Ovis aries: one gene and its partners. The protein of the gene in region 2 interacts with the protein of the main gene of each other region in a pairwise test. Links are inferred from orthologs where the notes say so. Each region holds a gene or a part of one and is shown on either strand. Other genes may lie near its edges.

What was found.
Region 1: the proteins of GPR25 (region 2) and VAPB interact in binary tests that used the Homo sapiens proteins (3 or more experiments, as listed by UniProt). The two-hybrid records come from large-scale screens. The link is inferred for Ovis aries from reciprocal best matches to the Homo sapiens genes GPR25 and VAPB.
Region 3: the proteins of GPR25 (region 2) and KASH5 interact in binary tests that used the Homo sapiens proteins (3 or more experiments, as listed by UniProt). The two-hybrid records come from large-scale screens. The link is inferred for Ovis aries from reciprocal best matches to the Homo sapiens genes GPR25 and KASH5.

The regions. Positions count from the first base shown.
Region 1 is NC_056066.1:57,609,212-57,612,856, forward strand, and holds part of VAPB (vesicle-associated membrane protein-associated protein B/C), read right to left. Parts: coding exon 3,641-3,645; intron 1,859-3,640; coding exon 1,682-1,858; intron 1-1,681. UniProt on the Homo sapiens protein: Endoplasmic reticulum (ER)-anchored protein that mediates the formation of contact sites between the ER and endosomes via interaction with FFAT motif-containing proteins such as STARD3 or WDR44.
Region 2 is NC_056065.1:78,883,500-78,887,329, reverse strand, and holds GPR25 (probable G-protein coupled receptor 25), read right to left. Parts: upstream 2,573-3,830; 5' UTR 2,494-2,572; coding exon 1,369-2,493; 3' UTR 595-1,368; downstream 1-594. UniProt on the Homo sapiens protein: Orphan receptor.
Region 3 is NC_056067.1:55,594,480-55,598,124, reverse strand, and holds part of KASH5 (protein KASH5), read right to left. Parts: intron 1,416-3,645; coding exon 1,311-1,415; intron 892-1,310; coding exon 705-891; intron 260-704; coding exon 195-259; intron 1-194. UniProt on the Homo sapiens protein: As a component of the LINC (LInker of Nucleoskeleton and Cytoskeleton) complex, involved in the connection between the nuclear lamina and the cytoskeleton.

The DNA of each region.
Region 1 (3,645 bases), on a different chromosome or scaffold from region 2:
TGTTCTAATTACCCTCAATCCACCCCTGACACCCTCCACAACAGCTGCACTTTCTTCTCTTCTCCTTCAGTTCGTTCACACTAATCAAGTGTCTGACAGATCTGATGACAAGAGGCAGCCAGCACCTTAAGCCCACCCCTCACAACACTCATGGCCACCTCTGTGGGACTGGTTCAGTATTTGTGTCTCCCCGGCTACCCTGGGGCTTATTTTAAGGGCAGGGACCACCCACGTCTGTATCCCACAGTGCTGGGCACACAGGAGGGTCTTAGCAAATGTGTGGCCAAATGAAAGTATGAAACAACACAAAACAAGAAATCCTTGTTTGGCAAGATAAAGAATCTTCTAATGTCAAGACTGGTCTGATAATATTTTAAAGACACTTTGCTTGAGGGGCATGGCCAATATTGCTGCATGCTGATAAATGACTGGTGCTATTCGATTAACTTCAAAAAAAAAAAAAATGGGCACAGCAAAGTACAGCATTTATTTTATTGGGTTTATATAGAAGCTATTTCCACCTATTTATCACTTTAAATGGCAAAGAAGAGAAATACATTCAAGAAGAAGCTTTAGGCGTATCTTAGACTTTTAGCCAAAAGTAGAGTGTCAGCCTCATAATTTACTCCATACCAACAGCAGTCACTGAATGAGGCAAAGCATGATTACTGCAGAGAAAGACAAGGATGCCACTTTCTAAACCCCGTTGGCCCCCCATGTCTCCTACCTCATCAGAGTAACAGAAGGAAGAGTCACCTGCAGTGAATTTATGGTGTGTACCTGGTGCTACGCAGTCAGGGAGTGACAGTCTATGGTGGCTGGGGACATGATCAAGATGAAAAGAACAGATCAGCCTCAAGACTTAAGCTGCAACAAAAGATCCTACAATCAGATGTTCAGAAACACTCTCTTTAACCCTGTGTATGAAAGGCATACTTTCAACACTGGAAGGGCCTTAACAGGGTCTTGCAAACAGAGGCCAGAAGCCGCTGTGATGGACAAAGTTACACAGTGAGTCCAAGTTTGGCTGGTCATTTCCACACTACCGCAGGCCTCCAAAGCCAAGAGGAGCACACCTGCCTCGCTCCAGCACCAGTGCGACCTCACCCCCCAGCGCCAGGCCACTCGCCAGGTCCAGGGCCACAAGCTGGAGCCCCTGGTTCCCTGTAATCTCCCCCATGGATGTGACAGCATCCCAGCTCCAGTCTCCGGACCATACTGATAGAGGATGAGACCCCACTGCTAGACCTATTTAGGATATTCAAAAATCAGAATGATGATTGCCTTAAAACAGAATACACGTCAGTCTTTACTCTCTTCAAAAAGATTCTCATCCAATGGGGATGGAAAAGGGGCTTGAAAATGTGAACTCAAGATAACCATTGTTGTTTTTTTAATTTCAATTTACACTAATGGATTTTTTATTTGTCTGTTGTCATTTTATGAGGAGACAGGAGTTTAAATAGTTGAAAAAATACTGCTCAAGGGACACTGGTTCTTACTTTGGGATGCACGTAGGCATGTGTCCAGGGATTGTTTTGAGAACCTTAGGAAACTTCAGCCTGGAGGAAAAACGTGCAAATACAAGACAACTCCACAAATTGCATCAACCTCCTCACCCAAGACCATAGTAGCAAAGCCCCAATTCCCTGAAGACGATCAGGAAACAAAATGCCATTACCTTGAACTGCTTGTTCTCCTCCCGCAGCCTCTGGACTTCGCTCTGCAGCCTCTTACACTCTTCCATCACCTTCTTAACTTCAGTGTCATCCAAGGAGGAACTCAGAGCTTTAGACACCGTTGGTGTTTCTGTCTTTGATGTAGTTGTGGGTATAATTTTATTTATTTCTACATCATGCTGTTCAGAAATAAATGAAAGCCCAAGTGTCACCAACCACGTATTAAAGGACTTCTTCATGCAAAGTAAAGTAGGTCTCAGCAGACACCACCCAGGGTAGCGTTTCATCCAAACTGTACAATGTCACATTTTTTTAAAACAGATCACTTTATCACCTAGTATCTTCATAATCTAAAACTGGGCTCCAGAAATTATGGATGAGGGCAAATAATGAAGTCCGGCTGAGACTAATACTTCAAAGAAAGAGAAAAGGGGCTGTGCGCACTGCACTATCAAATTCCTGCCATGAAAAATCAGCAGAGCATAGCTGCACAAGCTCAGGAATCATCAGCCACAAGTCACTATGAAGACGCGAACATCCCCCAAACTGGCTGGGCGGGGGCAGAAGGCCAGAGGGGACGTAACCCAGAGGGTGATTTGTCTCCTGAACTTAAGACAACTGCAGCGATGGGATGAAGGTGCAACAAATTCAGTGTCTATGGTATTTCATCCTGGGGAGGCAATGTGTTCCTCACTTCCCCAGCCACGACTGCGCTGTGATCCCCTCTGAAGACCTACTGGGGATGAGTGAGTATGTGGGGGCCGGGGAAGCATGGAAGCCCTTGGGGGTCCATGCAGCAAACGGAGAACAGCGAGCTCTACCCTTAGTCTCCCAGGGGAGAGGAGTGAGGCCCTGGCAAGCAAGACCTCAACACACAGAGCTAACCTCCAAGAGCACAGCTGGGGCCAGAATACAGTCCTCAACTATCCACAACTGACAGAACATGCTGTGGGAAGAGGGAAGGGAAAAAAGGAACGAAGACCACCAATCATTCGAAGAAATGGGATAGTGACGGTGGTCCATTAGTGAGCAGAAAAAAAATGCTAAGTAGTTTTGACACAAAGCATCAGCATTCCTGGAGATTGTTATGGATAACGTTGAGAGTTTGAACATTTCTATTCCCACCACCAGCTATTAACAGCCAGGGTGGTTTAATACTCTGCATGGGTTTTAAACTGTGTTAACACAGTTTAAGTTTTTTGACTAGGGTGAAGGGAGGTTCATGCCAACCGGGCTCATGCTTTGGTTTCACACAGAGAAAAGTGAGCCAGCAGCTGGGAGGGAGTCACTCCTTACCCTCAGTGCTCAGGCAGCAAAAAGGGTGATTCTCAACGGGAACTGACTCTGCCTCGGGAAGGGCATACCTGGCAACATCCAGAGACGCTTCAGGTCATCACGACCAGGGATGCTACTGGGGTGAGGTCAAGGATGCCACAACACACCCTGCAAGGCACAGGACAGCACCATAGCGAAGGACTCCTGGCCCGAAAGTCAGCAGGGCTAAGGGTGAGAAATCCTCATCTAAAAGCACATTTTGACTGAAGAGAATCTGGGGTTCAAGAGGTGGAGAGTTGGTGCTCAGGAGAAATGCAGACAGGGAAGCCTGCAGACAGCACTGTACAAGAGGAGCTGAGCGCTCACCGTCTTTCCCACTGTTAAATATAATAGCAACCTAGAACTTTGCCCAAGTCAAAGAAGCTCTTCGGAATTTATGACATTTCAACAGTCAACAGGTTGTGCTTTTCAAAGGCAAAAAAAATTTCAATGAGTTCTTTCTGTGAATCTTTCAAAGGCAGATTTCACAAAGGCCCACTTATTTGTTGACTTCAGCGAATTTTTCTCTTCATACATCAGAAGAAGGAAAATAATTTGCCAACTTAAATCTTGGTTTTGCAGGAGATGGTATGCAAATAAGTATCAGCTTGCAACATTCAATTATTGTTAACTATAAACATACTTACTGGTT
Region 2 (3,830 bases):
AGGGCAGCAGATGGGCGGTGTGAGTCTGCTCTAACCCAACAGCCCCAAAGGCTGCCCTCCATGCCTGGCGCAGGCCTGGTGAGATCGGCTCTCCAGGAGAATTCCTGAGTTCTTTCCTGCACTGACGTTTCTTTAGGCCATATCTGCTTAAAAGTATAAAGGCTGAATTCCCAACCCCTCCAGAAACCCCCAAGGATGCCGCAGACTCAGAACATGGATGCCCTTCAGCATTTGTCCTGGATGGGCCCAAAGGGAGTGAGGAGAAAGCTCCACCAGGATTTGACAGCCACAAGGCCACACTTCCGCTTTGAAGTGACACCTGGCTGGCAGCTGTGCTCCAGTCTTTTCCCCCTCCCTCTCTCTCTGAAACCTCCAAAATGGGAAACGTCCTTTAAAATAGTAAGAAGAGAAGACAGGCTGCCCTCCTGGGGGGCCCACGGCGGGGCCGCTGTCCTTAGCCCAACTTGACACCAAATCCTGACCACTTTGAGGTCAGCCTCAACTCCTGGATTGAGTTTTGTCTGACCCAGTGATTAAGTGGCCCCCTCACACTCATTTCAGTCCCTTACACTCAAGTAAAGGCAGACACAGCTGTCGGGTGAGGGCAGCAAGTGTTTATTGAGAAAGGGGAACTCACACTGCGGGGCCCAGTGTGGCAGCCGGTCAGAGCATCCGAGTGCCCGGGGACAGATGCTGGAACCCTCTGTCTGCAGGGAGGCACCCGCCCAAGTCCAGGGTGAGTCCTGCGGCTTCTTGGGAGCTGGGGAGATGAAGGACGGGCCTCCTGGGGTCGCTGGCAGCAGGAAGGGGTGAGCGCGACAGCACCGTGCTCCCCATGCTTTGGTGAGTGTTGAAATTGAAGATGCGGACGCGTGACTCAGCACAGCCACCAAGACGGCAGAGCGCAAAGGTCCGGGATTCTTTGGAGAGGAGCCAGAGGGTTCGGCTTGGAGAAGGTATTTCTCAGCAGGCAATGGCGACTGTAGGGACCAAAGGTAACGGGCCGCCGAGACGAGAGTGGCCTCTGGGCGTCTCTCCCAGGGCGCAGAGCAGGGAGGCCACTTCCCTTTCCGAGCCCGGGTCGGCGTGGCAGGTCCATCTCGCAGGACGTTTACTGCGCTGGAGACAAAGCTCAGGTGCGCACTGGGCGGAGCAGGAGGAGAGCGGGTCTCCGGAGCCGAGCCGGGGGTTGGGGGGGGTGGACGCTGGAAGAGCTGAGATTTTGGGAAAGCTCGTGAGGGAGACCCCGGGAGGCCCCGCGCACCCGGCGGAGCAGTCCGCTGCGCTCGGGGAGGTGGGGAGGTAGGCGGCGGTGGGGAGCGGCCCGCTTCGCTTCCCTGCGCCACCCGCAGCCCGCCGGCCGAGCAGCTACGGGCCGACAGCCTTGGGGGCGCTCGCCGTCTGGGCTCGGCCGCCCGCGCGGGCCGGGCTCCTGAACGGGGAGCCGTCGTCGCCGGAGAGTGATGACGCCGAGCTGCTCCAGCGCGCCGGGCGGTCGGCGCGCCCGCAGGCCCCGCGCTGCCGCAGCTGCGCGCGGAACGAGCGGTCGAGCAGCAGGTAGATGAGCGGGTTGGCGCAGCTGTTGACGAAGGCCAGGCAGGTGGCGACGGTGAGGCCCCAGCGCAGCGCCAGCAGCAAGTGGCAGGGCAGCGGCAGCGCGCCCAGGCTCGCCAGGTGGAAGACGGCGCGCAGGGCGCAGAAGGGCAGCCAGGAGCCCACGAAGGCGCCCTCGACGGCCAAGATGATGCGCAGCGAGCGGCTCCGCGCGCGGCCCAGGTGCGGCGGCCCGCGCAGGCGGCGCGACACGCGGCAGTAGCAGACGACGGTGACGGCCAGGGGCAGCACCAGGGTCAGCAGCAGCAGCAGCAGGCTCAGGCCCTGGAAGGCGTCCGACGGCTCCTCCCCGCACTGGCTGCCGTGGCCCCCGCCGGGCAGCGGCCGCAGGCGGCGGAAGGCCAGCGACGGCAGGCCGGCGGCCAGCGCCGCGGCCCACACGCCCGCGCAGGCGGCCAGCGCGCAGCGCCGGGAGCGCGGGGAGCGCGCGGCCAGCGGGCGGCCCACGGCCAGGTAGCGGTCCACGCTGAGGCCGGCCAGCAGCAGGGCGCCCGCGCAGCGCGTGCCGGCCAGCGCGAAGCTGCTGAGCTTACACAGGCCCTCGCCGAAGGGCCAGCGGCCACCCCGCGCCGCCGCCGCGGCCCACAGCGGCAGCGTGAGCAGGAAGCCCAGGTCGGCGGCCGCCAGGTGCTGCACGAAGGTGTCCACGAGCCGCCGCGGGCCGCGCGCCCCGGACAGCAGCCACAGCACGAAGGCGTTGCCCGGCAGGCCCACGGCGAAGGCCGCCAGGTAGAGCGCAGGGATGTAGGCGTGGCTGTAGGGCAGGTCCCGCGCCGCACACAGCTCCTCCAGCTCCAGCTCGCCCGGTGCGCCCGACCCCGAGTAATAGTCCCAGGGCGCCGTCCCCGCGCTGGGGCTCCAGGGCTCCGTGGGGCTCATGGCCGGAGACGCCCGGTGGCGGTAGCGGGGCCAAGAGGGAAGGTGGCTCTTCACGGCCCGTGCCCAGCCCAGCACCTCCCTTCCTGCCGCCGCGGGCCGAGGCGAATGGGTGGGCAGGAAGGGGTGGGGGCGGGGGAGGGGCAGGTGCCTGGGAAGAGAGGGGGGCGAGATTCGCGGTGGGGCGGAGGGCCGGGGAGGTGGCTTCCCAGCTGGGTCTTTGGAAGAAAAGCTCCCGGCTGGATCTGCGCCCTGCCTCCCGTGGGAGCCTGACCTGTCCCTCATCAGTCACTGGTTTTATTGAACTAGGAGTGTCAACGGTTTCAGGGCCCGGAGGCCCGGTAGAACAGGCGCTCAGAGCCTCAGTCCCTCTCACCCCTTCTTGGCTACCGGCTACTGTCTGTCTCTCTCTTAGGATTTTCCCCAAGGAGGTGCCAGCTGCCAAGATTCCCCTGGCCTCTTTGCAGAGCCGGCGCGTGGAGGGAGCCTGCCCTTGGGGGCCTCCCTACAGTCAGGGGCTGAATACCAGACTCTCCGATGCCGTTAGCTCCCTGAGCTGCTGGGTCTGGTGTCTTAGCCCAGGGTGGCATTTCTGACCAGCTCAGGTTCTCAGGGAGCCACGGGGAGGGTTTGCACCTGAAGAGGGAGGGTCAGCCTGTCCAGATGAGGCAGCAAAGCCTGGAATCTAGACCCCAGCCCTTCCCCACCTTCCTTCCTGGGCAGAACCTACCTAACGGAGCCTATGGGTGCTAGGCCCGGAGCGCAAGATGGAGCAGGACTCAGCGGCAGAGGCGTTGTCCTCAACCAGGAGTCGGGAGTTTCAGAGGAGGACGGGATCCCTTGTGGACTGAGAGGCAGGAAGGATTCAGAGAGAAGGGTGGGCATGTAGCCTGGCCTTGGAGGCGGCGGTGGGCCAGGGACAGGATGGGGGCAGGGTTCCCGAGGATGCTGGGCATTGTCGGGCCTCAGCTCCTCTTGGCACGTCCTCCCGCGAGCTGCTGCAGTGAGCTGTGACAGTGAGTCCTCCACAGAGCCGTGCCTCATTGTCACCAGGAGTGGATGAGCGGTTGGGTCATCTGGCGTTAAAAATTCGAGGAGGGTTATTTTTCCATTTTATTCCGTACAGCCCTGTTACAGCAACCGCCTCCGTGTGGCAGGCCCCGTTTTGGGTGTCACAGGAGATGCCGGTTTTGACCTTGGAGGGTCACTAATCAGGCCCCAGAGACAGATCTGTATGTCCCATGTGCAGTGGCCGGCGTGCCAGAGGTCACACGTCCTGGTGTGAAGGTTAATGAAGTCCCCCTGGAGCTCGGAGGAGGGGGCAGCCCCTCTGACTGAGG
Region 3 (3,645 bases), on a different chromosome or scaffold from region 2:
CAACCGTTGAGGGGAAAAATGCAAACCCCAAAGCTCAGGGCATGTGGGGAGGCAGTCATGCAGGTGCCTAGAAAGCTAGGTTAGAACAAATGTCTCTGGGGTCTGGCCCTATCCCCTGCTCTGCCCCCATGGGAAGTCCCCCCCACTGTCTGACCCTAGGCCTGCCTGCTTCATTCTATATATAGCGATCTCACCAGATGGCAGTTGCTGGGAGGTCAGGGCTCCCTCGAAGGCCGTCTCCTCTTCCAGCTCTAATCCCCTGTATCAAAGGGATGAGGCTTAGGGCCCCTGCAGCCAACCCCCCCCAATCCTGACCAGCCTCCGACAGGGGGTTGCGGGTGATGGGAGGGGGCCAGGTCAGGTGAGAGCAAGCACCGTGGGGAGGAAGGTGAGGCCAGATGGCAAGCGCCTGGGGCCAGATGGAAAAGCAGGAGGGGCAAAGCCTGTGCTTGGAGGGGTGGGGAGGGGCCTCTGTCAGCCTCTCAACATCCCCCTTCTCCACTCTCCAGCCCCTTTCATTTCTGCCCTCAGACCCTTCCCTCACCCCAACCTCATCTCTACTCTCCTCTCTTCTCAGCCTCCTTCCAACCACAGCAGGTCCCTGTGCCCAAAGCGTGCTGGCTGCAGTAAGCAGGTATGAGCTTAGGTCTTAAGAAAGGTTTTCTGAGGGGGCTGGGGTGGGGGATGGAGGTGCGGGGACCCACCCATCCAGCTGACAGGCAGTGATCCAGTCCCGCATGACCACCAGGAAGGTGTCCAAGTCCACAGTGGCCTGAGGGCCCTCCCCATTGGGGTCCAGGCTGCAGGCCAGTGTTTGGAGGCGAGCATCCTGGGGACCCTGTCCAGTCACGGCCTCCAGGTAGGCTAGCAGATGGGTCACAGCCACAGTGCCTGGGGACAGAGAGGCTGTGAGGGAGGCTGCGTCAGGATAAGGAGAGGGGTGGGGACCACGGGCTGGGCTGGTGGCACCCCTGCACCGTGGCCTTTGGGCAACTCCTTCTTCTTCCCCCGAGTCAACGTTTTCACCTGGAAACGGGGCCCAGTCATCTGCACCTCAGAGCTGGACCAAAGAGGACCAGCTGAGCCCCACTAGGCCCACAGTGGCTGCCCTTTCCCCCTCCCCCAGGCTCCAAAGCCCCGCCTTCCTCTGCTTACCCTCCTCCCCCAGGTTTCCTCCCCTCACCATCCCCTATCCATTTCCTTCCTGAAGCTTCCCAGTCAACCACATCACCCCAGCCCATCCCTCTGTCTGTGGCCCCCCAGTTCTCAGCCCCCCAGCTTCGTTCCTTATTATTCCTTGACCCTCTGACCTGTTCTCTGGGGGTCACAAGCTTCGAACGTGGAGTTGAGTATTTGCTCCTCTAAGCTGAGCAGTGTCCCCAGGCTCCCGTCCTCTGCCTGGTCCCAGAGGTACACTGAGGAGACAAGAGGGCCAGCCCATCTGTGGGGAGGGGGACGATGAAGAACAAAGAGGGGCTCCTGCAGAGGGGAGGGAATTCATTCCAAGCTGCCTGGGGTTTGGGCTGGTGGGGGCCACAAGGTGAGGGTCCTCGAGTCACCTTCCCCATCCCCCGATTTGGGAATGTGGGCCCCCCTCATCCTTCAGGCCAGGAAGTGCCCCCCCCCGCCCCCGCTGTCTAATCCCTTGTGTCCAACCGGCTCAGGAGCCCACAATACTGAACAAACCCTCTTATAGCCTTTTCCCCTCTCTTCCCTGGCTTAGAGGGGGCGAGGGACAGAGGAGGATGAAGAAGAGAGGATTCTGGGAGAAGCGGAGGGTGAAGGGGGCCCAGGAACCAGGAACAATCCAATATCGCGCGGGCAGCCTGGATCGATCCCGCCTGCCCTCAGCATCTCCGGTCTCTCAGCCTGCCTCAGGGCTGGGTCTCTCCTCCCCACATCCCTGAGGCTGGCTGGCATCATCAGCGCCCACGGGCTGGGGCCTGAAACAAAGGGGGATGGGACAATCCAGCCAGGGTGAGTGGTGGTGCGGTTCCGACCTCAGAGTTCCAGCTGCAGGACTGTGGGCAAGTCTCTTTGCCTTTTGGAGCCTCAGTTTTCCCACCAGTAAAATGGGTGGATAGAGTGATCCTCCCCCTCCCTGGGGCTGGGAGGGTGAGGTCTGTGTAAGTGAAGAGCACTTCCTGCTTCCCACCTCCGCACAATGTGAACATCCTGGGGTCTGTCTGCTGCTGTATCCACTGTGCCCACACAAAGCAGCACTCAAAAAATGCTCCAAGATATAGAAGGAGCCTACACATTCTCCACCCCTGGACCCACTGGATCTCTCCAGGGGCTGGAAGTGACCGCTGAAGCTCCTGCCCTGCCCCTGAACAGATGGGTGTAGCAGAGTGCAGGCTGCAAGGTCTGGCAGACTCAAGTGCAACCTGGGCAAGGGACTCAGTCTCTCTAAGCCTCAGTTTCTTCCTATGGAAAATGCGTGGGTGGGTGAGTGGGGGCTAATTCCCTCCTAGAGAGGAGATAAGATATTAATAAAATCTGGAAGCTCGATAATAAAACTGCACATTTATTCAGCATTTACTAGGAGCCACGCCTCTTCTGAGCATTTGACATGAACCACAGTGGCTGCTATGATTACAAACCAGGATACTTAGGCACAGACAAGTGGGAAACTTGCCCAAGGTCACATGTTCAACATCTGATTGCCATTTCTCATCGCACTAACTCTTCAAGGGTTCTCTGTACTGAGCTAAAAATTTAGCCCCTTCGGGTTTGAACTTCGGCTTCTAAGGAAAGGGAGCAGGACCTACAGTTAGGGGAGACGTGGTGCCCCCCTACATTATACAGGAGGACCCTGTGGCCCAGTGAGGTCACCCAGGACTGCCTGGCTCCAGATGTCGTGGGATCTGAGGAGCTGCATGGATCTACAGCGCAGATGCGACCCTCAGCCTCCCGGGGCCCCTCAGGAAGAAGTCACTCTGCTTCTCTCCTGTTCTCTTTCCTTCCTCAGTGTCTCTACCTCTCTGTCTGTCCTGTCCTTTCTCCAGTTTTGTCTCCGACTCTTTCCACTCTCCTCCCTATCTCTTTGGCCCTCAAGTCCCACCTGCCTGTCTCCACGTCCTCCACCCCCATCTTCTCGTCTCTGTGCTGCTTCTCCCGTAACTCAGCGACTCTCCAAGGCTTCTCTCTCCTTCCTCCACTGTCACTCTCTCTCTTTCCATCTCCTGCTTTCCTCAGTCTCCATCTCTCCTGGGTGTGTCCCTCCCTTTTCTCTGGGAGTCTCCCAAAGCGCGGCCACAAGTTCCTCGGCGGCCGCACGCCCTCTGCTGGTGCACATGAAGTTTACACGTTCAGATGCTGGTCACTTGGTCAGCCTGCCCAGGTGTCTGCCTCCTGCCTTCCTATCTGGCAAGCCTCCTGAGGCCAGAGAGAAGACACCGGCTTTGAGGCTAGATGCTAAGAGCCTCTAAGAAAGGGGCCCTGTCTCTCCTCTAGGGTGGGAGTCTCCCTTGGCTCTCTCACTGTTTAGTAGATGAGTTTCAGAAAGGACAACCCAACATCTTCCTCCTGAAGCCACTTTCACACCCATTTGGTCTGTGTCCAACTGATCATTCAAAAGTTAGTAACTGGGTTCCTATTATATGTCAGGTATTGCTCCCTAGCAGCATGATCAGCAGGACAGCC